4 linked regions of the Pelodiscus sinensis genome follow. The protein of the gene in region 2 interacts with the protein of the main gene of each other region in a biochemical or structural test. Links are inferred from orthologs where the notes say so. Each region holds a gene or a part of one and is shown on either strand. Other genes may lie near its edges.

Region 1 (7,027 bases), on a different chromosome or scaffold from region 2:
CTAACTACACCAAGTGGAATTTTTTTATTTTCTAATTGGAGGATGTGAACCTGTTCCCACTGACTTCGAAGGAAGCAAGACACAGTACTGCCAACCTCATTGTTCAAAAGTCACGAATCAGGCCCTTAAAAAAATCAAGGCTTAAAAATCAGGAGATTTTAAAGACTAATAAAATGTGGGTTGTTTTTATTTACCTTCTAGTTTGGGGTGTTGTTTTTTTTGTTTGTTTGTTTTTTAATCTTTAGGGTATACTGCTATCATATTTCAAAGCTTTTCTCTGCAACCATAACACTAGAAATTTAGGGCTTATTTACATGGTGGGTGATAGGCATTATTAAGTGTGTGATTTCTATAGTGTACTAATGTCATGTACATAAATTAGTCTGTGTATACCCTGCTGGTATACACTGAAGGCTCTTTCATACTGTGCATTACCCTCTCTCTAGTCAAGCCCTTTCTTAAAAAAAAAAATTCACAATCAATTGTCTCCATGCGCTAAGGATGTAAATCAAACATCAAATATCATGAGCTGGCAACACTGATTTAGATCAAGCATTTGTATATTTCAGAGCTAATTTATATTCTAAGAGTCTGACCCTGCAGCCCTTACTCATACAAGTTTTTTTTACTCACACAAGGACTCCCATTGATATCAGCTTAAGTAAACAGTTTGTAACATTCAACCCTATGTTATTAGACTAGCCTTGGATTAATTTAACTATAATCTGTGCTGTAGTCCTCCCATTAGATAGACCTGTAATTAATGTTCTTAGAACTAAAAAAGAAAGGAATAAGCTATTTTCACTAACATTTCCTTAAGGTATAAAAACAGTGAACTTTTCTTCAATTTTCTTTTAACTATCAAAATGTACCAGTAGAATATATAGTGTTTAAAGCCATTTCCCCACAAGGGATATATGGCTCAGAACAGAACACAAATAAATTTGTATTGGCTTCAAATTTCATAGAAAATGATTTTTACAGTGCCACTTTGGAGAACTGACATCATTCATATACATGCTTGAGCTCTAATTAAATCCCTCGGATAAAACCATAATTTCATTTGGAAAACACAACCCTGGGCTGCTCCACTTCATAGGGTGAGAGAAGAGGCTCTTTTATCTGCTGTCATTCTTTTCTTTTACAGAGGAGGGTGCTTTTCTTCTTTGAGGGATACCTGTCAATCATAAACTGATAAGAAGCACAAGGCTCTGTTACTTGTTTTTAAGAGGGAAACAACGGGAATGGCATTTTTTTCACCAGCTACTCAGAGGAAAGCCAAAAATACAACAGGAACAGATAATTATATTGCAGGATTTTGTTCAAGGAACACTGAAAATTGTCAACAATAGTTATTTCTGAAGCCTATTTCTTCTCTGCAAGCAGAGTTCAGCGAAGAATGCTAGCATTTCCTGTGGAAATTGTGTGGTTGCCAGTAACAGCCTCCTAATTTTTCTTCTCCCATTTTTATTGTTTTGTTTTGTATTTAAAATAAACACACCCTGGCATTTCGACAACAGCCACAATAACCCTTTACCTCATTCACCACCTGCAGATGAAAGTCATCAGCAAAGGAAAGCAAAGGAGTCACATTTCAGCAAACAGCAAAACCAAAGCACACTGTAACCCAGCAAGAGAGGTGGCTGAGGATGTCCAAGTCCTGCATGCTGGTTTAGAGGTGGGGTAGGGGGGACAGACTCTTCCCACAGTATCCTTCTGTGCATTCGTTTCACCCAACCCTTCACGTCCCCCTGTACGAGATGGTGCCCGTGTTGCACAAGGCGGCTCGTTAAAAGCCAGGATGCCAGCGACAATACAAGCCAGGGTGCCAGCCAAGAAAGGGGGGCGTCCATGCCCCACAAGGTAGCGGGGAAGCTGCTGCCTCTTGTGTGTCAACCATCTCCCGGCTAAAACCACCTCTTGGCTGCAGCGTTACTATAGACACCGGCTGGGTCCTAACCCTTTCGCAGCGAGGCGCTCCTCTCCGCGAGACCAGCCGCGCGGTCCCCTGCCTGCGCTGCCGGAAGGGATGGGATCCCCCTCCTCGTGCTCAGGGAAAGGGGGTGCTGCTCCTCCCCCCCATGCAAACTTGGAGCCGCAGGCTGGGCTGCTCCCCTCCCGCGGGCTGCGCCCGGCCCAGGCTCCAGGGAACTTTGGCTCACTCACCCGCGGCTCCGCCGGCCAACGTGCTGCTGCGCGGGGCCGGGGCTCGCGCTGCTCCTGCTGCCGCTGCTCCCGCTCGGGTAGAACGCGGCCCGCCGGGCGGGGACGCGGCCGCCCGCTGCTTGCGTCACAATCACGCCGCGGCCATTCCCCACGCCGGGAATTCGGGGGGCTGGGGGGAGCCGCCACGTGATGAGCAGCGAGGCGCCGCCGGGCGGGGAGGCGGGCAGGGCGGAGGCGCTGGAGGCTGCCCGCCGCAAGCCTGACTGACGGGAGCTCCCCACCCCCGGGCCCCGCCGCAGCCCCGTCCTGGCCCTCGCCTCCCGCTGGATTCCCCCCGCCCCCGCGCGTGTTTCTTGCACTTTCTCCTTCGCCCCGCTGTGACAGCCCGCCCCTGCTCCCGCCCCGCCGCGCTGCCCTGGGCACTGGGGCGTGCAGGGGACTGGAGGAGGTTGCAGCTGCAGGGGGGTGTGACCCCCCCTTTTAGCCCCGGAATCGCCCCTACACACGCGGGGGACAAACGCTCTTCACGCGGGGCGGATGTGCAGGTCGAACCGTTGGCGGGTGGGGGCTCGTCGCTCCTTGAGAAGACTCGGTCCAGGTGAGGGCTGAGGGGAAAAGCCCGCTCCTAGCACCATCCCGCTCGGCAGGATCCCTGCAGCAGCAAGGAAGGACCGGCGGCGCCTACCCTGGTGCTCACAGTATTCCCTGCGGGGCTCCTGCTGTCACACAGCCCACTCCAGCAGCGGGCCCAACTTGTGCAAAAAGTAGCAACATAGGACCCCGTGTTCTAATTTGCTGGCAACATCAGGCACAATTTTTTAAACAGAGGTTTAAACTATCTTTAAGGTGAAAACACACATCAACTCATGCTATAAGGTATTAATCACATGGCATCATACTGCACTAAAAATACCTGAAAATGTTGGGTTTAATTCGTTCACATCTGTTTAAAATAAAACCGTGGGTTTTGGCTTAGTATAAAACCTGGAAAGCACACATCATGCTTTCCTTCCAGTAGATACAGATGGAGTTGGTGGCACCCTTGCAATGTATGGAATATGTTTCCATTAAAGTCATGTTAACTCCCTCTGTTAGAAAATCATATTTTATTTCATGTTATTGAGGGTTAGCATAGTTACAAACTGTTTCTTTGCTTCTGAATGTAGACTATTTTAGTCAAACATGGGCCAGGTGGTCACTCTATTTAAACATTACGGTAATTGTTTGTTACAAGGTTCTCAAGTGGTAACCATTGTGATTTCAGTGTGAGGTAACAGGAAAACACTACCCATAAGCTAAGTGGTAGTTTAGCTGCAGTGAAAGTTCTTTTAAATGCATTTCCCCTCTTTTTCATAATTTAATTTTATTCCCTTCTGCCATGTTTTCTCAGAAGTGTCTGGGATTTTTTTAAATCACTGTTCACACACATTTTCTAGTCTACCTTTTAGACTTATCCTGTTTTCTCACTGACTCCCCAGAGATTTTATACAGTTTTACATTTCAAACATAAATCAGGACTTGGATTTTCAGTCTCAGATGAGGCAACACTGCAAAAGCCCCAAAGATGCATACTGCAAATTAAAGTGAATTTCACGCATGTAAAAAGATTCTGGTTTGACATTACCGGTAACTGTTATCTACAGAACAAATATAGCACAAACAGTAACAAGTTTCCTCCAGTGCATCACTAATATTATTAAACCCATTCTGGATTGAACATCTCCAGGAATTCAGAGTGGTATTTCAGTCTGCATGTTCATTTACTTCTTGGCCTTCATGAGAGTTCCAGAGAAGCCAGTGAATCACAGTTCTTGGCCCATTAGGAATGGAATTGAGACCACCATTCGATGTCATCCATAGAACAGCCATCAGATAATAACTACTTTGAAACACTTTTAATCTGATCTGCATTTGCACCAGTGACTTGGAGATGAAAGACAGTATAGCGTTCCATCAATTCACTTGAGGTATCTAGTCCCTGTAACATAATGTATTCTCATATATGTCACAGCTCATTCAGTACACTTGCCCAAAGGATGAAAAGTGTTAATTTAAAAAAATTAATGTATATTGTTAAGATGGTATGAAAAGAAGCTTGCACGTTGATTACAATGAATTCTAGGTTTTCTATTCAGGCCATGCGTGCTATGCCTAAAATGTTAAAATGGTCTCAACGCTATCTGAGGAGCGTGTTGATTCAGGGAGAGGAAGAGAAGGGTTTTATTTTGGAAAGATTTCACTATTGCAGTGTTTTTAGGAAAAGGCATATGCAGAGACTGCCCATTTCACACTCATACTTACATAGAGATTAAATAACTGTTTTGGGGTATTTCAAATGCATTTGATTAGGTGGTTTTTTTAAAGGAATTCTGGTCAGCTGTGTGTGATTAAATGGTTTTTAAAAGAATACAGGTCAGCTTCAGAACACAATGTCACATATAGCTCATGCCTGGTTGAAGAACATAGTGTCTATGGAAAAGAAAAGCAGTATATTTTGTAATTTAGGGGCCATAAATACACTCTATATTTAAATGCAGCCTTTTAGCCTGCCAAGTATATTTTTATGTGTTACATGTGATAATATCTCATGTAGAGCTGATATTCCTGTTTATGGACTTGCTCCTGCACTCTTGGTGGGAGTTTTTGCTTGAATGAGGAGAGCCGATCATGCCCTATATGTCCATATAAGCAATAACTTGGCATACAAGGGTCAGTTCTTATAAGGATTGCAAGATATACCATATCTGTACTTTATATTACACAGTACTGTTAGTACTCTTTTTAAAAAAATCACAGGACACCAGGGCTGTGTCTACACTGACATGAATTTCCGGAACTGCTTAAAATGGAATACTATTCCGTTTTCAGTTTTTCCGGAAAAGGAGCGTCTACATTGGCAGGCTGCTTTTCCGGAAAAGCCCTTTTTCTGGAAAAGCATCTGTGGCCAATGTAGACGCGCTTTTCTGGAAAAGAGCTCCGATCGCCATTTTCGCAATCGTGGCTTTTTTCCGGAAAAGACGACTGGGCTGTCTACACTGGCCCTTTTCCGGAACAGTGTTCCGGAATAAGGACTTATGCCCGAGCGGGAGCAGAATAGTTTTTCCGGAATAGCGGCTGATTTTGTACAGTAGAGCATCGTTGCTATTCTGGAAATTCAAGGGCCAGTGTAGACAGCTCGCAGCTTATTCCGGAAAAGTGGCTGATTTTCCGGAATAAGTGGCCCAGTGTAGACACAGCCCATCTGTATTTTTATAGCATACAAACAGGTACACGGCTTTATTGAAATGTAGAATATTTCCCTCTTACCATCTTATCTCCAGACAAGATTTATTGAAAAATAGGCACTAGTATACTTTTTTTTAAAAGATAGTTTACCCAAGATCAGTTCAGTAGTACATGAAAATGCTCTAGTATTACAGACAGACTGATCATGGTAATGCATGTGATAAGAGTAAAGAGTATCTTTCATGTGTGTATGTAAGAGACCAGTCTTGCTTCCATAATAGGGAGTGGGAGCTGAAGGTAGACAGCGGATGGTTGCAGGGCTAGATCCTAGGGGCCTGAACAGGAATCATTCCATCAACTTCAGTGGACAATGGATTAGGGCCTGTGTTTTTAACTGTGACCTTCAAATAAATATCGGGTGTTTTAGTCTAGAACTAAAATATTTTGCAATTTAATAATATTTGTATTTTCTATCCCACAGCTTGCAAAATTAAGCAATTACAAAAATTCTACAAGCTGTAAATAAAGGAATGTACAGTACTTTATATCTGTAGTCAGCCTCCAGTTTCCAGTATGGTAATCTATGACTTATGGTGAGTGTGATACAATCATGTGTTCTCATGGGTGTCACTTTAAGTAAGAACTAGTTATTGCAGAGAAACTGCATTAACATCTTTTGAAATAACAAAGGGTAAGTTTTAACTTGCACTATGAATGCTTCCTTTTTATATTATTTAGGGGCATTCAGGAATTAATTGTTTGTTTGTTTTAAGTTTGCCACTCAACTTTAATTCTTGGTGAAAAATATTCCCCTCTAAAAGCCTAACTTATTTCAGACAGGTGAGCTAAAATTAAAGACATTTTCCCCTCCTAACTTTGAAAGATTGAAAAAAATAGGACAGATTCAAATTAGCCCTGATTTTAGTCTTTCAAACCCATTCTGTATTCTCCCTACTTGAAATTTTTCATATAGTAGACTACATTATTCAAACCATGTAGGATATGGGAGAGTTAATCCAAAACTTTTTGATGCACATTGAGTAACTCTCAGAATGCAAGTCGCACCAATAATGTTTGCACAAAACCCCTGTTCGTTTCAAATTGCATTGTGTGAACACTAGGGATGTGAACAACTAGTCAAATGATGCTTATCGGACAGTCGATAGGCTAGTCGACTAGTTGCTTCCCCACCTTGCTGCCTCTATCACAAAGAGGCAGCGGGGGAACAGGGGAAGGGGTGCTTCAAAGCGGCAGCTCCGTGTGGAGCCAGGGGTCAATGAAGGAGTCTCCAGCTGACCCTGGGCTCCATGTGGCACTGCCGCTTTGAAACGCCACGTGGAGCCCAGGGTCAGCTGGGGACTGTTGAGTCCCATGCTGGCCCTGTGCTCCCAATAGTGCTTTCACTTTTGAAGTATAACAACAGCCCTAGGGCTGTTGCTACACTTCAAAAGCGTAAGCACCCTTATTGACTAATTGAGTAGTTGATACAAATTGCATCGATTATTCAATTACCAAATAATCAAAATTTTACATCCTTAGTGAACACATGGAAACAGTTGGCAGCAAAGTGAGGGCATAGCATTCTCTGACAATATCTTATGATCTTTTACTTCTCTGCTGAGAAGCATGCATCCCA
Region 2 (7,693 bases):
GCGGAGAAAGCAGACGGCAGCTCCTGCGTGCTGCCTTTCCTTCCCTCCCCCAGGCCCAGGGAGCCACCCTGGCATATCGACCTCATGTGATCAGCCGAGATGGCTGTGCCGTCAGCAAAACACATTCCGAAACGCCGGGAAAGAATGGGTGGTGCCCCACCTACCTACAACGCGCTAGAAACTCGCTCGCTGCTACTTTTAGAAGCTACTTCAACTGCCCCGTATAAAATACGCTGCGGAATTTTAACTGATTAAAGCTGTTTCCAACAGCTGATAACTGAATTTCTTGCTTTTCCTGTACATGAGTATTCTGAGTAGCAGCCAACAGGCTTACACAACACCACAACCACAATTTTGTATACCTATTTGTAACAGTATTATTCTAACCTATAAATCCACTTTGAAAATGTGACGTTAAAGCATGTAAGAGAGAAAAGCTATGAAGTATTGTCCCCCACAAGCCCGTAAGAGAGTTGCCAACTTTCTACTTCCACAATAAAAGCACCCTGCCTCTGCCCCTTCTCCAAGGCTCCACTCCCACTTGCTCCCCCTCCCCCATCTCTCATTTTATGGAGGCTGGGCTGCCCTGGGGATAAGGATTCCAGCTGGAGGTTCGGACTTTTGGGATAGGGGTAGGGATTTGAGGGTTAGAGGGATACTCTGGGCTGGGACTGAGGCATGGGGGAAGACAGAGGGTTGTAGCTCCAGGAGGAGGTACAGGCTCTGGGATGAGACTGAAGATGAGACGCTTAGGGTGCAGGAGGAGGCTTTAGCCTAGTATCAAAGGGTTCAGTGAGTGGGAGGGAGGTTGGGGTAGGCTGAGCTCAGGGATGCAACCTCCTTACTGCTTAACTCAAGCAGCTCCTGGAAGCAACAGCATAACTGCATCAGCCCTACTATCCAGTTGGTGGCACTTTTAATAGGGAGGGTTGCCAGATGGTTTCAACAAAAAAACGGGACGCACTTGACATTACATCACAAACTACATTACATCTTATTTAGACACTGGACATTTATATTTTCTCTGTTTCCCGAACAGAAAGCTCAAATACTGGACTGTCCGGTTCAAACCCGGACACCTGGCAATCCTAATAATAGACTAGTCATTGGTACTGACCAGAGCCACTAGGGTCCCTTTTTGACTGGGCAGTCCAGTTGAAAATTGGATAGCTGGCAGCCAGTAATCAGATTAGTTTTACTGATTTGCTTCTGACACTTGGGTGGTAATGAATTGTAAATGTGTTAAACTTCCTACATAAAGACTATTCCAGAAGGCAGAGGAACCCAGGCAAGAGTGCAGAAAACAGGTGTGTGGGAAGATTCCATGGAGCTGTTAAGAAATGGCACAGTTTTTAAACTTAAGAACGGCCATCTAGTCCAGTACCCTGTCTGCGGACACTGGCCAATACCAGATACCCGAGAGGGAGGGAACGCAACAGGTAATCATCATGTGATCCCTCTCCTGTCAACCATTTCCAGACAAACAGCGGCTAGGGACACCGCTAATAGCCGTTGATGGACTTAACTTCCATGAATTCATCTAGCTCTTTTTGCAACCCTGTTAAAAGTCCTTGTCTTCACAACATACTCTGGCGAGAAGTTCCACAGGCTGATTGTGCTCTGTTTGAAGAAAATTTCCTTTTGTTTTAAACCTGCTACCTATTTATTTCATTTGGTGACCTAGTTGTTCTATTGTGGGAACAAGTAAATAACTTTTCCTTATTTACTTTTTCCACACCATTCATGATTTTATAGATCTCTATAATATCCCCGCACGCTCCCCTTTTCTAAGCTGCAACGTCCAAGTCTTTTTAATCTCTCTTCAAATAGGACCCATTCCAAGCCCCTAATCATTTTTGTTGCCCTTTTCTAAACCTTTTCCTAATGCCCAGGGCTCGACAAACCACTGTTTCTACTCGCCCATGGTGAGTAGATTTCAGCTGGTCGCTCTGTGCACCCCATTCACCGGCGCTACACACATGCGCAGTGCCGGTCTGGAACATGCGCGGTGTGGGGCTGGCGAGTAGCTCTCACCGCAGTTTGTCAAGCCTTGCTAATGCCAATATAACTTTTTCGAGATGAGCTGACCATTTCTGTACCCAGTATTCTTGATCCTCACACAAGTGGAAAAAATCAAGTTGATGCAGCTGAACTTATCCAGTACTGAACATACTGGATTCTGGAAAACTGGCACCTGGGATTACTGTAAAAGTACGTGAAACAGTAATAGTGAAGACATAAAGGCACATTTTAAACACAAACATAGTAAATCTGTAAACCCAAGATTTCCAAGAGCAAACAGAGGTTGCCTGCAAAAGGGCAAAACATTGTGTATGAGTTCTATAATGTATAAAACGTCCAAGTTTTTTTTTTTTTTTTTTTAAAGGAAAAAAGTGTTTCCCACTACATTAGAAATTCAGAGTTTGACCACCCTTGTTTTTTCCCTGGAAGACTACAGAAAACTATTAGAACTGTATATCAGTTCAAGACAACTGCTCCTCTCAGTGGTCCAAAATGGGCACTCAATCACAGGCTTCCAGCTCTCCCAGTTGTAGCCTCTTTTAGCTGGAGACCCATGTCTCACTCCCTTCTGATCAAGGAATGTCCTAGAAAAACATTTTCCTTCCTTCACAATGCACTTCCCATCAAAGACCCTCTGCCTAAACAGATATGTTTGCTTTCCCTTAATATACTGATAATAGTGATGATCAGTTATAAAAGGTAAAAACATTCTAGAAAATATTCTTTCAAAATGAAAAAGCCTACATGCATGCTAATAAAACTTAACCCTAACATGAATTCTGGCAGGCTTAGTCCTTAACCCTACCCCAATGAGTGCTGGCATAATCATAGGTCGATATTCGCAAAAGCTTCTATTTAAACATAAATTGAAGTGTGATACACGTAACTGTTAAAGTGACCATGTCTCTAACTGGTTACAAAAATCATGATTTAATCTGGTGCTGACAGGACTGTAGGATATTAGGAATTGTGCTGATATTTTTAGTCGTAATAGCTATATTTCACCCACATTTCCAGAGGTTTCAGAAGTCCAACGGCTCCTCCTAGCTGACAAAATCTCTAGCTTCTTCATCAACTTTTATTTTTATGGAAAAAAAAGGGAGAGAAAAACAAAAAGTACAGCTGAGTGGGCTGGAAGTATCCCATACTTAGTTTTTTTTATGTAAATGAGGTGTTAAATGCATGGAAAGCTGATTTTATACAGCAGCACAACAATTGGCAGGTACTCCTTCCCCATCACCCCCCTCCCCGCCTTCTTTTTCCGTTATAAATTCTGGATTCCAATTTCAGCGCATCTGAAAGAGTGGGTTTTGCCCAAGAAGGCTCAGGGCTCTCTCGATAAAGATATAGATATAGATATAGATTCTCTAAGGTGCCACAGGACTACTCATTGTTTTTAAAGTTACAGATTAACATGGCTAACTTTCTGAGACTTTCATTTTGAAGAATTAAGTTCTGGTTTGCAATGGAATCTTAAATAGTTGAGATAAAGAGTTAAACAGCAGTCCAGTCTCATACAGAAAGGTAAGCTTAGCAACAGTTCAGATAGAAAGCTAGTCACGCTTACTACTTATTAGAGTCAAATTTCACTCAATTGACCTTCAATAACAGTTGTGGTGTCTCTAGACTGCACATGACAGTTACACAAACTTCTGAAAGTCAGATCAATTATAAATTTTAATAATTCCCATTCACTTTCAATAGTCATGGAATTATCCTGATGTACATTTGTGTCTGATATGTTTCCCTCTTATTTATTACAGAGTTATACAAAAGTCAACAACTGTTGTCATTTCCAGAACTTGTGTCAGGGAGCTATAGTCTCTTTACACAAACCCCTCTTGCATACAAAAGTTGGTTTAATATAATAAAAAAAAGAGTTACCTAATGCAGTATGAACCAACCACTGACAGTTGCAAAATAAGGACTATTCTAATAAAAAAAGATCATTTACACAAGACATGTACCAGTTCGGAAAGTCAGTGATTTAAAGATTATGGATTTAGAGAATTTTTCTGTGTTCTTCCTACACCATGTTTTCACACTTGAAGAGCTCAAAAATGCAAACTGTTGATTCTGCAGTATTCAGAGCTATGGACTGCATTATCAATTCTGAAATACTGTCTAGTGAAAATCCAGTGTCAACTATTTTATATACAGGCAGTCCCCAGGTTACGTACAAGATAGGGACTGTGGGTTTGTTCTTAAGTTGAATTTGTATGTAAGTCGGAACTGGCGTCCAGATTCAGCCACTGCACCCAGCTGCTCTACTCCAGGTATCCACATGTCAGCCGCTGCTGAAACTGATCAGCGGCTGATTACAGGAAGCCCGAGGCAGAGCAACTCTGCCCCAGGCTTCCTGTAGTCAGCCGCTGGTCAGTTTCAGCAGCGGCTGAATCTGGACGCCAGTTCCGACTTACATACAAATTCAACTTAAGAACAAACCTACAGCGGCTGACTTGGGGACGCCTGGGGCAGAGCAGCTGGGGTGCTGCCGGGTTGGTCCAGTAGCGCCGAGGAGCGGCGCTGCGGGACCAACCCGGCAGCACCCCAGCTGCTCTGCCCCAGGCATTGTCGGCGAGAAAAGCCTGGTCTGCTGGGGGGAAGCGGGGGGGGCGCACACTAGCTGCGCCTCTCCTCCCCAGCAGACCAGGAAGACGCGGGTGGCGGTCCCGCCGAGACGCACCGTGGTCCCGCCCGCATCCTCCGCGGCTTTGCTCCACGTCTCCCTGGTCTGTTGTGGGGAGCAGACCAGGGAGACGGGGAGCAAAGCCTCGGAGGACGCCTGCAGCGGGATAGCCACGGTGCGTCTGGGCTGTCCTGCTGCCCACGTGCTCCGCGGCTTTGTTCCGCGTCTCCCTGGTCTGCCGGGGGGGGGGGCTCCCCCCAGCAGACCAGGGAGACGGGGAGCAAAGCCTCGGAGGATGGTGGCAGCAGAACAGCCGCTGCGCATCTGGGCGTCCTGCCGCTCGCGTCCTCCGGGGCGAGAAAAGCCCCGTTCGTAACTGCGGATCCGACATAAGTCGGATCCACGTAACTTGGGGACTGCCTGTAATCGGGTTAGACTCACTTATTACACTATAATTGATAATGTAAAGGTGTATTAAACTAAACAAAAACAAGGTACTCTTATTCAAGAACAGGAGTAACTCTAGAGATGCAAGAGTTTAACCAATAAGCATTATCTTATCAGTTAACCTTACTAATTAAACTCCCAGCAGTCTGTGGAGCATTTAACAGACTGAAATTCAATCCACTAATAGTTTTGTTTGTTTTTAAACATCTGCAGCATTTACACATATTATTCTGGGATAGTAGTTTCTGAATAACTCCCACTGCAGACAAGCTCTAAACTTGCACTCTAAAGAACAGATTCTACAAAAATAAAGCTATAAACATAAGACTTGCTAATAAATAGTCATCTTTTTAATTCCACATGATGCTTGATATTGTTTTAACTTTTAAAGAAACATCCATTATAAAGTAATCAGCAGTTGGCTTTGTGTGATGATCTCAAGATTATGGGCTACTAACACTTTTTTCTTTTTAACAGAATATCATAACCAATGATTTAATCTCTGTGTTATTGGTGTTGGAGTGTGCCTAACCAGCCAATCCAAGTTTCACAACACACAAGATTACAGGGAACTGATTAAATTAAATATACGCAGTTAAACTTGGAAAGCATCCTATTACCCATGATGCACAGGAAGTTGAAAGTCCTCCAAAATCACTAAGGGAAAATTACCATCTAACCCCAGATACTGCAAGTAGTTGGACCCTGAACAGGAGGAATAACCAGCAAATTAAGTACCTGAGACAGAGAATGCTTGGGGCCCTCTCAGTGCTCCATTTCAGCCTTTTCAGTGTCCTATCTGCAAAAACGGCCTTCTCTGATGCTTCAAAGAAAGGAAACAAAAAACCTCTGCAATACATCACAGAGGAAAAATCCCTTCCTGATCTCTTCAGGTAGCTGTCTGAAGCCTTGAAACATAAGTTTTAAGAACGTAATACATAAACCGAAATAAACCCTCTCAGAACTGCTACCCCCTACTCCCCACCATCACAAAAATACTCTATCAACACTTATATTTGGGCCTGCCCTCTCGCAAAAGTTTGTTTGTTTGGTCTCATCTCCCAGTAGGGCTGAAGGCTATTCCAAAACCTTACTGCTTGGAAGGTTAGAATCCTTCTACTTTCTATCCTGAATTTGTTCATGACCAATTTATACCCATTTATTCTTCTGCCAACACTGTCCCTTAGCTTAAATAGCTCTTCACCATCACTGGTACATACATACGTGTATACACACACACAAAGTGTATTTAGAGAGACTAATCATATCCACCCTCTTTTTGCTGTTGCTAGACTAAACAAAACAAGCTCTTCCAAGCTCCTCAGATAGGTTGTCTACTCTCCTATTCATCACAGTAGCACTTCTCTGCATCTGTTCCAGTTTCAACACATTTTTTAATACAGGCGATCAGATGTATACAGTATTCCAGATTCCCTCCAGCAGAAATACCTCACCTGATACATCCTCAAATCACATTTGCCTTTTTCTGCAGCCACATATTGGTTTCTTATTGTCATTCAGTGATTGACCAGAACACACCCAGATCTTTCCCTAAATCTGTGGCTTCCAACTGGTAATCCTCCAGCTTGTAGCAGAAATTAGTAGACCCTAAATGCATGACTTTCTACCTGTGTTCAATTGAATTTACTCTGGTCTTCAAGGTCATCCAGACCTACTTCATTCAAAGTTGAAAAAACAATTAGGAGATGGAAGAGGAGTGGATCAGATCTAACTGAAAAACAAGACCAGTTTTTTAAAAGCTATCTTATGAGCTGGATGAAACCTAATTTTTGGTTAAGTTAAAACCTCATTTGACTGAGGGGGTGTTAATGCACCCTTCAATTAACGTAACTGGAAGGATAAGCCACCACCTAGGACCAAAAAAACAAAAAACAAACAAAAAAACAACCAATAAAAACCCAACAACCCAGCATTTCTTTAAGGAAAGTTGAGGAGCAGAACGCAGAGGGAGAAATAGTAACTAAGGGTATGTCTCCACAGTCAAGAAAAAACATGCATATGGCTCGTGCCACCCGAGTCAGGCTTGTGGGGCTCGTGTGCGGTTTTATTGCTGTGATAAGTTTTGTGTGCATGCTAACAAGTGTTTTCTTGGTGCTGAGAACAAGAAAAGATGTTCTCTCCTATTCGATTCCTCCTTTGTTCGGTGAGATCTACATACATTCCTTGTAAATGAACAAAATTGGATCAAAGAAATACCTAGCTATCACCAATTTCTCATCTTAACTGAAATATCCTAGGGCCTCAAACTCTGACTAGCCATTCAGGTCAAAAGAAGGCAGTGCTAGTGTCAGGTGTGAGCGTTAGCTTCTAAGACAGACTTGCTGAAAAGGTACACTTGTTGAAAAGGGGAAAAATGATAGCAGTGCTCACAGAAATGTAAAAATGGTCTAAACCAGTGGTGTACAACCTTTTTCGGTTGGGAAACCCAGCTGTAACACATGCCCCCAGAAATGGTAAAATGGATTATCAAAGTGACCAGTAATCTGACTATCACAGACCATAATTTTTTTCATGAAATAGTGGAGACAAAAGAAGCTTTGGCTAACCTGGAACTAGCTAACAAAGATGAACTAC
Region 3 (7,393 bases), on a different chromosome or scaffold from region 2:
GTCTTAGACTAAGTATCTGCTGCATTTGTCTCTGAGTCATGGTTGACAAAATTGATGATGCTGTTGTCTGGGCAGTTCATGAGATTCTATTTATACACTGGATTTTATTAGTATTATCCATTTGTAAAAGTATCCAGAGCATGGATTCGGGTGCTTAGGATAAATTCAAAGCCATCAACAAATGCAAATACATAATACAGCCAATTCACCTGTGCTTTCCTAACACAAACTAGATCCCTGCCTCCTGTGGAAGACCCGTCAGAGGGTCGAAAGAGGAGAAATACACTATGAAGGTCCTCTCTGGTGGGTGGTGTTCAAATTTGAGCAGCAGCGCCTCTAGCCAAGCCTGTGAATCTCAGGGATCCATGGGGAAGGGCAAACGCATGCAGAGCTTGGAAGCCTCCCACAGGGACCACTGAACCAGAGTGGCAAGGTCCCTCTGTAGTGTATCCAGTTTGGCAGGAATCTAGAAAGAGGCAAAACAGGTCTGAGCTGTGCTGGATCCTTAACAGATTTCTATTTGTGTGCATAGGGTTACCAGGTAGGTTTAGAAAAAATACCGGACACTCTTGATGGGGAGGGGGACCGGCTGGGAGGGGGGCGGGGCTGGCCAGGAGGGGGGATGGGGGCAGCGCGGCTGGCCGCGGGACATGGGTACAGCCGGGGGGCAGGGCTGGAGGGCGGGCGATTGGGGGCAGCGCGGCTGGCCTGGGGAGATGGGAGGGGTCGGGGGCAGCATGGCTGGCCTGGGGAGATCGGGAGGAGAAGAACTGGCCGGCAGGAAACAGGGGTGGCCGGGAAGGGGTCAGGGGCAGCGGAGCTGGTCGGGAAGGGTCGGGGGAAGCGGGGACGGGACTCAGGCATGTGCAGATCCCGGGGCGCTGTCAGTCCTGTGCACGGTCCGGAGAAGCGCAAGTCAGTCCGGCTGTGTCTCCACCATGCATTCAGGAGCAGGGACAGGGCTTCTCTTTCTCCCCAAAGTATCAGATGCAGCCAGAGCTCCCAGCGCCGATTGCGCCCCGCCTCCCAGCCATTCCCTCTACCCCCACCAGGTTTCCGTCCGGCGCCCAGCCAGAAATCCAGGAAATACCGGACATTGCACAGATCTGGTATTTTCTGGATTTTTTTACCAGACAGAGGGCCCAAAAACCTCTACCGGACACCTGGCAACCCTATGCAGAGCAGGGGAATAGTGCAGCAGAGAGAGGCACTTCTTGTGCTCTCGCAGCCCATCCTGCCCCTAGAAACCACAGACACACTTCCAGAGGGGCTCCTGTGTGAGGTGGGGAAGGATACCAGTGTTACTGCATGGATGTTCATTTCCTACCACACGGCCTACATATGGTGGGGTCCTTTTCCAGGTGCTATATCCAGGAGATGACCGGAGAGGGGGTGGGGGGAGGGAGAAGAGAGACTGGCCGGGTCCTTGGGCAAGGTGGGGGAGGCTGGCTCCACTCTCCTGGAAGGAGTGGGGACTCAGTCAGAAGGACAGGTCTGGACCTCATGCTGCACTGTCCATCCCACCCCCTACACAGTCCTAAGAGCAGCCTAGATGAGCATGGCACTTTGACGGCAATTTAAAGGGCCAGGGGCTCTGGCTGCTGCTGCCCAGCTGAGATCTCTGGGTCCTTTTGAATTGCCGGGCTCCGGGGCATGTTCCCCTCCTTCCCGCCCCCCCTCTAGCAGGCCTGGGCCTGGACAATAGTCAGAACTGCTTTTATCTGCCAGCCTAGGCAAGAACTTGATCAGGTCACAAGGTTGCTTTCAGCAGGGATTATATGGCAGTAGGAGGGACACCCTAAACTGGTATAAATAGGCACCACTCCATTGGTTTTACTAAAGCTGTGCCCATTCATACCAGCAGAGGATCTGGTCAGGTTATTTTTGTAGTGTTAACACATCCTAATGGAACATAGAAATTTCCACACCAAGTCAGACCATCCAGTCCAGTCTACTGTCTTCTGCAGATGTGGGGTAATCTGTCCCCCAAGATGATGTTGTCCTAACCTTTAGCAGACAGAAATTGACATAAGCTTTGATGCAAGAGGCTTTAAATGCCTGTGTGTGCATTTAACATGCACATGTGTGTAGCAGAACCTCTCCATAGCCAGTGACCCATAAAGGGAAAGCCCTGAAGAGGACTACTTTGCTACTTCTAGACAAAATTAAATCCACTTAATAATTTTGAGAAAAAAACCTGGCAAAAGTCCCCTAATTTTTCAAGGTCACATGTTATTTTGGCTTTGACAGAAGTAAAATTCACACAGAAATCAGGGGCTACAATGTTGCTCAATCCAAAATAAGGGGGAAATGTAACTTCCACCTTCAAACAGCACTGACTATTATCCCCATTTTACAGATGAGAAAACGAAGGCACAAGCTTCACTGAGGCTACACAGGAAGGCAGATGAAGAGGCAGAAAAAGAACCCAGCTCCATAACTCCTATTCCTTTTCCTTCCCTCTGTCCTTTGATACCCTACAAAATTATTCTACATTTGCATCCCTGCCCTGAAATGCTGCCCAATAGCTGGCATTCTTGTCAGGAAGCAGGATGCAGAAAAAGGCTTATGAAATAAATATTCATGATCCACACAAACAAGTGACCTCCAACTATAACAAGAGAATTATAGGAATAAGAAGACGGGAACTCAGGAAATAAGGATGACAACAATCTGTAATTAGGGGGCAATTATGTCCAGGGCCTAGAGCAGGACATGGCTATGTCTAGACTGCAGAGCTTTTCCAAGGAACACGTCTGCTTTTTCGGAGCAATTTCCGAAAAAGTGGACATGTTCTTTCACCATCCCTGTAATCCTCATTGTATGAGGAAGAAGGGATGAGCCGAAAGAGGAGGTTGTTCTGGAATTTGGCCCTATGTAGACGGGCCACATTTCAGAAAAGCCTCTTTCGAAAGAAAAGCGGAAAAAGATACGCAAAGTGCGCTTTGCAATTTGCATATCTTTTTCTGACTTTTCTTTGCAGTCTAGACATAGCCTCATAGTCAGAAGACTAAGGATCAGATTGTCAAAAGAGTTCAACTTCCAGTTGGGCACTGACCTAAGTGAAGGTGTTGGGTGCTTAGCACATACAATTCTGGCCACCTCATTTAGGCGCCTAAATGGGATCTGTTGAGCACCTGGAAAATCTTGTGCCAGGCCCTGATCTTGTAAAGAGTTCTGTGTATGCAGACCCATGTGGAAGTTATTGGAAGACTGGAATCCTAGTTTTTTGGTTCCACCTTTGTCATAGACTTTGCTGTCACTTAATCTTTCTGTGCCTCAGTTTCCCCATTGCTATAACATGTATACAGTTATTTACCTTCCTCTGTGAAGTACTTAGGAACCATTGCTTGAAAGATGCTTAGACAATAAAAGGTTTTCTGTACAGCACACGTCAATGGGCTGAAAACAAATGATTATGTGAGGACTGGCATTTCCCCAGCAATAACTGCGAGAAAGAGATGGAGCTGTTAAAATGAAAACAGGAGGAGGATCACAAGCTGTCAATCTCCATAAGTAAATACTCATTTGCTGTGGTTCTTTAAAAGAGAAAAATTTTGAAAGCTACAATGTCTTTGTTTTAAAGGCAGCCTCTAAATATTTACACTGCAAAAACTGGACTGAAATGCGGAAAATGGGCTTAAAAATCCCCAGAACTTTTGTCAGAGAAACAGACTGTGAAATACTTAGAGGGAAAAGAAGATTTATTTGGGGAAGGAGAGGGAAAAGAGGTAGGAATTTTCCATGCTATTGTAAAACATCAGCTCAAATTGTATGATCTCCACAGCCAGTGAATTGCAAAGCTTCAATCAGCTGCCTTTTTTTCTTTTCTGTAGGGGGGGGGGGGGGGAGAGAGACAGAACTGTTTCACCAACTTCTGTTGACTGTTCCTTTTTTTCTCCTGATTGAAATGTGTTGTTAAACAAGATCCCACATAATCTCAGTAGAGGGTTTCTGTCTCTCCTCTCTCTCTCTCTCCTTCTGGGAAACTGCGATCAGTGCCATCGGCATTTGATTATTTGCAAACTCCTTTTGCTTTTTTTCCCCTCTCCCCCTCTCTGTCTCTGTCTCGCTCTCGTTCTCGCCTCCAATGCAACTTTTGCAGAAACCCCCAACACACACAGACATGTTGAGCTGAGAGCTAGGGGGATCGGCCGAGTCCCCCCTCCCCGACCCCAAAGTCCCAAATCTGGGGGGGGCTCTGACCACCTCCCCCACCCTTGACTTGTCCACTGTGCATCGACCTCCCCATACACACGCACCTTTTTCACTCCCTGCTCCTTTTTTTGGTGTTGTTTTTGTTAGATGGACAGGATCAAGGTTGGATTTTTCTGTCTCTCCCCCGATGAAGTGAGGCGGTGATGCAGGAGGCTGGCAGCTTCGACTATACGGAGAGACACAGGCTCAAGATGGCAGATTTGTATTGAGTTTGGGGGGCTGAGATCTCGCTTCATATTTTTAATGTTTTAATATTTTTTTTTGCCATGAATAACACATCATTGCACCGATGGCCCCTATGTACGAAGGTAAGGCAGCTCTGTGTCTTTTATTTCTTTTCACCCCTCCTTATCCCTGGGCTTTGGCCATCTCCAGGCACCCCTACACCTCTCACCAAAAAAGAAAAAAAAGGTGTGTGGGGGGGAGAGAAAATCAGCACAGCTTTGAGAACACTGTAGTGGATTTTTTGATGAATGGCTCTGCCTTGTTTAAAATTACTATTCTTCCTATTCGTATGAAGGTTGATTTTAATTTACTCTTCCATGTCTTCCTCCCCTCCACCTCTGCTGCCTTGTAAAATTCACCCCCTTTTATTTTATTTTATTTTATTTTATTTTGATCGTTTCGGTCCGTGATCACGGAGGGGATGGGTGGAAAAGTCCATTTCACTGCCGAGCCGAACAATGAAGATTGGCTAAGATTGCCCTGTAATTGCTCTCTGTGTGTATGTGTGTGAGAGAGAAATGTAGTTTAAATGCAAGAGCTTGACCCCCTATTCCTTTAGCCTGTACTCCAGAAGGCATTTGCTTTGGTGTTTTGCTGGTCCACTCTATTGTAGGGTATAAACACAAAAGCATATCTAGGCAGATATGTCAGGAAAAACATCTAGCAGCAGTCTGTCAGTTCTTTCAGTTTCTAGTTAAATCCAAGCGGGGATTGCAGTGAAAATTGAAAGTGAACTTATTTTTTCCCCAGTTTTTAAATCTCTCTCTCTCCATATATATTGTGGGCGCACGTTTAAAAATAAATCCGGCTTCATTTAAATCACCTAGCGTTGTAGTTCTTTCTTTCCGTCCCCCCTTCTGGTTGAGAACTGGTGAAAGAGCATTTATAGAAACCCCTGAGTTTCTGTGGTTTTATGCAGAAATATCTTGACGATCGATTTATATAGCACGGGAGATTTTAATGTCTGGCCAGGGAAGAGGCATGCGGGAAGCAATACTTTATCTGTAGTGTGTCTGATAAAACTTATCTGAGAAGAAAATCTAGTATTAGTTGGAGGGTTCTAAATGAACTAGTTTTCCTGGCCGTGTAAAGTTCCCCATGTGCCTATTGATGCCTAGGATGCTTCGGGGTGGTTTAAAATGGCATGGCCTGGAAATAGTTTGAACTCTAAAAAGAAACAAAGGGGATTGTTTGTACGCAACACAAAATAAGTGCTATTCCAGTCCTTTCTTCCACGATCCTGAAGAGCATAGGCTTAATGTCGCCATTATTTCCCCCCTGCAATTTGAGTTAATGAAAGGCAAATGCAACAGATCTGTTAAAAGAGAGAGAGAGGGAGAGCTCTGAGGGACATGTATTATTAAACTGTAGCTGTAAAAAGGGGCTACAGTCAGTGCTGGAACTGTCTGGGGTGTTGAAATGAAATGAAATAATGTTTCTCTTTAAACACCTCCCGAACTCGCCCTCTGCTGGACGTTTAGGGTCTGGTTGAGAAAAGAAACTTGTCACTGAATGAAGAATTGTTAGGAGAGGGCTTTGCCCTTCCAAGGGAAAAGAAGCGTCTCGGTTGGGGTATATCTTTCTTCGGAAAGGTGCTGGTTCCTGGCTGGATGGGATGCTTGTGGTGGCAGGGATGCAAACAGAAAAGGCTAGCGGCAGATAGGTGCCCACCCTACTCTGGCATTGCCCCTCCATCCTCACCTGCCTGAGTCCCTGCTCTTCTGGTCCTGGGTTCCAGACTTCCTAGCTGTGTACCGGCATCTGAATCTTTACCAGTCCCATTTCCCTGCTAGCCTAGATTTGGGGCCTCACAGAAGGTAGCACTGCCAGTGTGTTTTAATCCTGACCAAATCAGTTCCCTGCTACGACAGTGCTGGGCTGCTTACAAGCTAGTCCAATGCACCCCGGGCCTGTCTTGCATCACCCTGCCTGCTGTCCCTGCCTGGAGCCTCTCTGCAACAGAGTCTAATAATCAGGTTGGGTTATGCAGTGATTTTCATGATGTGAACTAAAATCCACTGTGGGGTAGGATGAATCTACCGAGATCATGTTCGTTTATGATCACCTTCAGCTCTCCAGAGGAGGGACATCTCACTTCATGTCCCACTCACTCCCTTGATTTGTCAATATAATGGTGAACAGTGTCCATAGAGTAGAGTGAACATGATTTTCACCTTATGTCCTTTGAAGGAAACTGTGCTCATTTCTGTAAGCTTTTTTCTGTGAAAGGACATGGCACCACCCCCAATTGGGACAAGTTATAGGAAGAAAGAGTCTAATGGACATCAGCCTGGTGGAAGCCAACATACGGGATTCTTTTCTAGAGTCCTGGTGAGAGATGGAGGCTTTTAGGGGGAGTGGAGCAGTTACTGCACTCTCACTTCAGCTTCTTCAAGGCACTTGGGTGACTGAAAAAACCCGACAACTTATAACGAAGGCCTGTGTATATATATCAGTTTTGCAACAGGGAAGGTCCTACAGCAAAACTTTGCAGCCTGCTAAGATATCCCAGTCCTTAAAGTGGGCAACCCTGCAACATTCCAACTCTCTGTAACCAAGGTAAGGTCTAAATGGGGTTGGAGTGCAGGGGAAATGGTTAAATCCTGGATAGTCTGCCCTCCCTAATAGTGAAGAGAGCTCTTCTCAGTTCCTTGACACATTATAGGGTATGGATGGAAACCTGTATTTACTTGCATGTGGAATGTGAATCTAATCTTAAAAGGTGAGTGTGTGGTTCTGATCTTTCCTTCCAGAGTTGATAGTTTCCATATCACAGGCTCTCTCGAGCTTTCCTCTAGCACATCAGGTACACTTAGGGCACTGGTGGAAGTACCATAGAGGAGGTGTGATCAATGTGACAGTTCCTCTTGAATCACTATTGTAACACACATACCCCTTGCTCACACCCCAGGTCACCACCAGCACCAAAAGGTGAGAAGAGGTCTTTCCC
Region 4 (6,957 bases), on a different chromosome or scaffold from region 2:
GTTTTGATCTGAGATCATACCACTTCTGCCTTATCTCATGTCATTTTATCCTGCTTGCATGATTTTTTACAATATTTTATTGTAATCTCTCCGGTATAGTGGTCCTTTTAGAGTTGGGGATACTGTATGAAGTTTTGTGGGACTGCAACCCAGCCATTCTGAACTAATTTTGGGAAAGCACTGACGTAGTTCTTGTGCTGTCCATAGACTTAGTAGTAGAATATTAGAGTCTCTGTCATAGTAAAGAATTTGTTGTCTTGTCAGATGGGGCTTCCAAGTAGTGACTGCACGCTTTTCTTTTCTCACCCCTCCCCCTACTCCCCGCGCCATATCATTCTGTTTGCACACAAGTACTTCCTCTGTATACCCTTGGTTGGGATCTTTGAAGCTGAGACCTATCACGTCTGAGTAGCTGTATCCCTGGACCCATGCAGAGCCCCACTGAAGTCAATACGATTCTGTACAAGTTCAAGGAACTGTCCAGGTGGACCTGATTTTAAGCCTGTGATGGGTGCTTGGTGTGTACAGAGCAATTACATATGCTGTATAGGAATGTTATTCTCAGCCCATCGGAAAGTGGCATCCTTGCTCTGTATATGGTACATTATTAATCTAAAATATGCAAATGATTATTGCTTAGGCTGTTTTGTGTCTATAATATCTAATTATTGTGGAGCTTGTAAACCTTTTAGTCTCTGAATATGTGACTCCAAGGTGGTTCTCATCAACAGAATGAGAAAGTCCACTTTGCAAGTGAGCCACCAACTTTCATAATTTGGTTGATTTATAGTGTGGCTCCATGTGGCGCTCCTTGCAGTAGTTGAATATTGAGCAAAGGCCTGCTCAAGAGAGCGCATCCAAAAGAAATGGCTCCTGCCTTCGGGTCATTGCTGCTGTGGGATCAACTGATGGTATACTCATAGACCGTGAACTTGAATAGGAAGCAGTAGACACATGTCTTCCGTTTTAACGGAAGATATAATCCTTGCCATATTTTCTGGTTGCTTCCCTCGTGCTACCTGTGTTACTTTCATTTTGTCTGGTCAGTTAACTAGTCCTTATCCAAGCTCTACTTGCTACCAAACACTGAGTAATAATATTCATCATGTGAAGCAAAGCTATTTTTATTACATGTAGTAAATTGGAAGATCCTTTAGTTTGCTTTGTACTGTGTTTTTTCTATCAAACTCAAATAAAGTCTCGGTGATAATGTATGGGGTTGTGTTTTGAGGCGTGGCTCTTCAGTAATACATCAAAGGCTTATCTTATAACTGTGTTAAAACATGGAAATGGATGACTGACTATCAAACCCCAAAATAGTTTGGGCTGTTTTTATCTGTGGATAACATGCTCTTTGCAACTTCCTCATTTGAGATATTTACTACAACAAGACTTTAACTGTACAATTTCAGATAATGAAAGTATCAATATAAAGATGTTTTTAAAGTATTTAACTTTGGTTGATATAGTTTAATAAGATTTAAAAATTACATTACACCTGTAGGTGTGAACTTTGTGTGAGTGCATAATATATAATTTACACATATGTACTATGCTATACACTTGTGCAAGTTGCATAAGCACGTATGTCTGTGTGGAAATCTCAGAATTAATCATACACAATAGATATTGTGCAAGTAATTTGAATGTGTGCAGATATACATGTACATCTTACATGCCTACTTTTGAAAATTTGGGCCATCCTTGATTTATTCCTTGAAAGAAACCTGAATATGAATTTCAGTTACCATGATATTTAAACTGAAAAAACAACAAATAGTCTGGTAACACTTTATAGACTAAGAAAACATGTAGATGGTATTATGAGCTTTCCTGGGCATAACCCACTTCTTCAGCAAAATACAGGACTATGTAGAGTATAGTATGTTGATCTTAATGGATTGAGATACATACATACATAGTCCTGTGTTTTGTTTCAGCTACACCAGACTAACACGGCTACATTTCTACCACTTCTTCAGATGAGTCATCTGAAGAAGTGGGCTATGCCCACAAAAGCTTGTGCTACCATCTGCATGTTTTGTTAGTCTATAAAGTGCTACCAGACTATTTGTTGTTTTTTCAGTTTACCTGTACAGACTAACTTGGCTACCCCCTGAAGCTTCTGAACATGATATTTAAAACAGCAATATCAGAATGTAATTTCCTTATAAGGATTGGTCAAGAATATATTTCTTTAAAGTACTCTGCATTTTTTTTACTCTTGCTCAGACTATACCTTACTCAAGCAAAACCATAGTTGACTTCTCCTTGCAACTCCTTGAGACCATATTTTAGGATCTGGTTTTAAACTGAACTCTTATTAGCTTGTGCAGGAATAATCTGGCCCTGGTTTTGAAAGGGCTTGGCTTGTTAGGAAAATGGTTAGTGTTGTTATCAATATATATATATTTGATATATAATACAGAGTTAAGTGCTGTTACAATGCTATACAAAATTCCATTAGCTGAAGGGGAAATTGCAATACATTTTTGGTAACTGAAACATAACAAGAGTGTGGGAATTTTTCTTACTATGGGCATAATCAAAACCCCATTGAAATTCAGGGACTCTCATTGAGGCTACATCTACACTATAGCTCAGATCAAGACTCTGAGATTGAACCACCGGCAGTTGATTTAGCAGGTCTGGTGGAGACCTGCCAAATTGATCACAGATTACTCTCCCATCTACCATGTTACTCTACCCAGGAGAAGAAGAGTCAAGAAAGTCAACGGGGGAGTTTTTGCCATCGACCCTTCTGCAGTGCAGAGCCTGTGGTATCTCAACCTATTCACATAGGTAGATTTGCATAGCTTACATCGGTTTTCTGACTTGGTGTAGATGTAGCCTGACTTGAATGAGCATTGGACCAGTCCCTATCTTACATGTCTACTTATGCAGTGTTAGGTAATCGAATGCCTACTGTTACTAAGCATTAACAGTAAAGAGGATACTACATTGCATGATTGCGAGTTGAACACTAATATAGCTATGCAAAATATGGCTAAATAATGCCACCATGAGCTATGGGATACAGAAAATGTGGTAGATGCTATTCTTCATTAAGCAAATACAAAATTTTTATTGTATTTATTTATTTTATTTAATACTGAGAGGTCTGAGAAAATATTTGAAGGAGGTAGATACATTTTAACTTTATAATCTGCATGTGATTTGATCATCTTTTCTTGTTAAATTTTAAACAAATTCTACACACGTAAAGTAGTACAACATAGGGTCCTGATTCTGAGAGGTGCCTCGCTTCCTTAACTCATGCATTATACTCTAAGACCCCAATTCACTTGGGGTAGTTAGTAACTCATTTCTGCAGCCATCCCTTTTTTAATAGGAAATGATGTATTTCAACAAAAACAAAACAGAAAAAACAGAGTTTCTTTTTTAAATGAAGGATGTCGTCGTTTAATGAGGCTTGAAGTGTTTACAGGTGTTTCCTCATGAGTTCAGATTTAGTGACCCTGGGGAGTTGAGATTCTCGGAAGACCGGAGAAAACATTGCTCAGGCTTGTATTTTAAAACTGTTAAGCACTGAAGGGCCTGATCCTACTCCCGGTGTAAACTGGTGCAGCTCTGTTGAAGTCAATGGTGCCATGTTAATTTAGACCAGCTGGAATCTGTCCCTACATATGCTCCTCTCAACACAACAGAAGATCAAAAACCGTATTAAAAGATTCTCGTATGTTTCTGCTTTAGTATCTTATGGGATAATCTTATAGACCTTGCTAAGGCAAAAATCCTATTGACTATAGGTTCCGGACCTTAGTGTTTGTTTAAAAAATGTTTAGGTGATGTAACGTGTCTTTTATGCATAATATCTTCCAGTGCACTCTAGTCTTGGAGAAACTGCATAATGTGGTGAAGAACAACACATAGCAAAGGAAAATATAAAGTATGTGTGGTTGGAGGATGTGATGACATCACGTTGCTCAGCGGGAACGTAGGGCTTTTAAAAAGCTGAAGGAAACATCCTGACAGCCAGTTATCACATCACTTGTAAAAGGAGTAAAACACAGTTAGCGATTTAAAAAGCCAAACTCTCCTCTTCAAAGAGAAAAGCCTCCGTTCTGCCACAGAATATGCACTGGCAAAAATGTAAGTGAGTTCTGATTGCCTTCGTTTTTCATAATTACAGTAGATATAAGAAGATACAGTAGCTACAGTAGATATAAGAATAATAGCTCTAAGTCACTATTAGAATGGCATGGCAGATTTTTACTTCCGAAGAAGTACCTAGTTTGAGAGAGACAGTTACTAAAATGTGTGATGCTAATATTCCAGCATGGATATTAACACAAGACAGCAACACTGTTTTGGCATTCATCACTTTGAATCAAATGGCAGAGTGGTTCATAAAAACAGTCACAGGGCTGCACGGTATCAAAGGTAACAGTTGTTACTTGCCAGTTTTCATTTTTTAAAGTAAAGGCTGATATAACTTTTTTTTTAATCTAACTTCATATGGACACAACTTTTACCAAAAATGATTTTGGGCAGGAAAAGGAGTGTTACAACTTCCTTTACCTCTCCGCTTATGAGTCATACATTAAGGGTCACAGCCTCGCCAAGTGTAAAACAACGTAACTCCATTGTAAATGGAGCTATTGGCATTCCAATGGGAGCCATGCTGATTTACACCAGTTGAGGATCTGGCCGTTAGTTACTAAACTTTTATTAAAGATAAACACAATTGTTGACTGTATGAGTTCACTTCTTACATAAGTATTGAAAGAGAGAGTGACAGATATAAATGATAAGGGAACAGAGCAGAGCTGAGGCAGTATGGGCTCTAAGTTGCTATATGTATAGACGTCGTTATACCCAGGCATTTTTTTTTTAATAATTTTGTTCTATTTTGTCCCATCTTTCCTCAAGTAGTTCAGTCCTTTTTCTAACAAACATATAAATTTGTACTGTTTCTTTTAATTCTTTTATTTTCTGCAAGCATATTTCTGAAGATGATGTTTGTTTTTTTGCAACCATAGGAACATCCTCTATCTTTCACTAAACTATTCACTTAACCTATAATACAACATACCTGAACGGAAAAGGTTAATTTCTTAAATGTTTTCCAGTGAGTTGACTAACATGGAACAAAGTTGAATCTTCTTTTCCATTAGGTTAGAGATCAAAGAGTAAACAACGATGACTTTTGTTTGTATCTATCATTCTGAGATAATCAACAGTCAATCATGTTTTCTTTGTAACACATTCGAATATTTTCGTTTGTTTTATTTGACAATTGCATAGTCATTTTTTCTTTAGGTAAAAATATGGATTTTTAAAATGTATATTACGGACTGCAAAATCAAATAGCAAGAAGCTCCAGCTATATTTTTTTTCGTGCAGCTTGAGTTTGTATTGTAACACAATATATAGTAGACTATGGTAGCTACTGCAGCAACATTTTTCTTCTCATTATCTTTTTCTCTTTTCAGAATCAATAGTGCATATTGCACAGAATGTGCAATCTAAAAAACTGCAGCAAGATCAGAGTCAAATGTAATTTAGTAGCTAGGAAATCTTAGATGTCCATTGCACAGACATAGGTCTATGATCAAAATTTGCTGTCTTTAGCAGAGTTGGAATGATATTCATACTGAATATTGCTGGGGTATGTTCTTCCCTTGTATATACACAAATGCTTTAAAGATTCATAGGAATTACAGGCCTGTGTTGAAAGTGGCCAGGCTGCTGTACTAGAGGTTGATTGTCCCACAATGTGAATATGTAGCTCCCATTTGACAACTTCAAAGCACTACAATGCTTGTGCAATGCCTTCCTATCTGCAGAGCACCCCCTCCAGTTCTCAATGCAAGAATCTGTGATAGCAATTCTTATTGGACATTTCAAAACATATTACAAGAAACAGCAATTGCCTTAATTGGCTTCCTCAGTGCGGAGGTTTTTAAAACCCAGCAAAGAGTTGGTAGTGCAGATGTATCTCTGTTTGACTTCTGCTCAAGAGGATTTGGGGGCCAGATTGAAGGGATGCCTCTTAGAACAAGGAAGGGGCAACAAAGATTTTTGTAAATGGCCGACATGTTTGAAATGATTATTTTTGGTGCTGAGGTTAGACCTCGGTATCAGTTTTAATTTTTATTGAAATCAATACTTTCTAAATATTAGCACCATTGCAACATTCTTAAACTTGCTTTTTCCCTAAGTCATTTTGATAACTAGTTAATTGCTTTAGCAATTAACTAGAATGATCTACTGGTTAGGGCACGAGATTGGCACTCAGGAGAGCAGGATATGTCACCTCAAGAAGGGATGCAGACAGGCCCACTGCTGGGATGGATGGAGGTGGAGGGCAAAGAGGGTAGTTGCCCCAGGCCCTGGTAATTTCAGAGGTAACTAGAGCTCTGAGCCCTTTCAATCACTGCTAGGACCCCAGGCAATGCACTATGGGTGACTGGGAGCTGGCTGTGGGGAGGTGGCACTGTCCGCATAGCACTGACGGCTGGTCGGTCCCAGCCCCAGCCCTTCCACACAAGGACCCGCCCTTTCCATGGGGCCCCGCCCCTTCCAGGCCCTACACACACCTTGCTCACACCTTGACCAGCAATTTGTCAGCTTCCTTGGATGCAGAGATAATTATTTCTAGACACCATGAATAACTGCCTCTTTTACTCGGCCGTTTAGCTACAGTGGCATTCTTTGGTTCGCTTATTATTGGAGCAACTTATCTTTAAACCCACAAGGGAAGAGGCAATTCTTGATTTATTCCTGAGTGGAGTACAAGTTCTGATCTAAGAGGTGAGCATAGCTACCCTGCTTGGCAATAGCAACCATAATGCAATAAGCTTTAACATCCTTGTAGGGGGGGAAAGGCCAAAGACACCCACCATGGGAGCATTTAATTTAAAAAAGGGGAACTACACAAAAATGAGGAAGCTGTGTTAATGGAAAACTAAAAGAAATAACAACAAGAACAAA

What was found.
Region 1: the proteins of SIAH1 (region 2) and SNCAIP form a complex in vitro, tested with the Homo sapiens proteins (2 studies listed by BioGRID, with this or other methods). The link is inferred for Pelodiscus sinensis from reciprocal best matches to the Homo sapiens genes SIAH1 and SNCAIP.
Region 3: of the proteins of SIAH1 (region 2) and HIPK2, one has a biochemical effect on the other in vitro, tested with the Homo sapiens proteins (4 studies listed by BioGRID, with this or other methods). The link is inferred for Pelodiscus sinensis from reciprocal best matches to the Homo sapiens genes SIAH1 and HIPK2.
Region 4: the proteins of SIAH1 (region 2) and POU2AF1 form a complex in vitro, tested with the Homo sapiens proteins (2 studies listed by BioGRID). The link is inferred for Pelodiscus sinensis from reciprocal best matches to the Homo sapiens genes SIAH1 and POU2AF1.

Annotation. Positions count from the first base shown.
Region 1 is NC_134716.1:55,040,531-55,047,557, forward strand, and holds the start of SNCAIP (synphilin-1), read right to left. Parts: upstream 3,008-7,027; 5' UTR 2,167-3,007; intron 1-2,166. UniProt on the Homo sapiens protein: Isoform 2 inhibits the ubiquitin ligase activity of SIAH1 and inhibits proteasomal degradation of target proteins. Isoform 2 inhibits autoubiquitination and proteasomal degradation of SIAH1, and thereby increases cellular levels of SIAH.
Region 2 is NC_134722.1:28,842,086-28,849,778, forward strand, and holds the start of SIAH1 (E3 ubiquitin-protein ligase SIAH1), read right to left. Parts: upstream 3,007-7,693; 5' UTR 1-3,006. UniProt on the Homo sapiens protein: E3 ubiquitin-protein ligase that mediates ubiquitination and subsequent proteasomal degradation of target proteins.
Region 3 is NC_134711.1:100,536,479-100,543,871, forward strand, and holds the start of HIPK2 (homeodomain-interacting protein kinase 2), read left to right. Parts: upstream 1-4,386; 5' UTR 4,387-4,507; coding exon 4,508-4,526; intron 4,527-7,393.
Region 4 is NC_134736.1:6,300,766-6,307,722, reverse strand, and holds the start of POU2AF1 (POU domain class 2-associating factor 1), read left to right. Parts: upstream 1-3,955; 5' UTR 3,956-4,097; coding exon 4,098-4,113; intron 4,114-6,957. UniProt on the Homo sapiens protein: Transcriptional coactivator that specifically associates with either POU2F1/OCT1 or POU2F2/OCT2. It boosts the POU2F1/OCT1 mediated promoter activity and to a lesser extent, that of POU2F2/OCT2. It recognizes the POU domains of POU2F1/OCT1 and POU2F2/OCT2.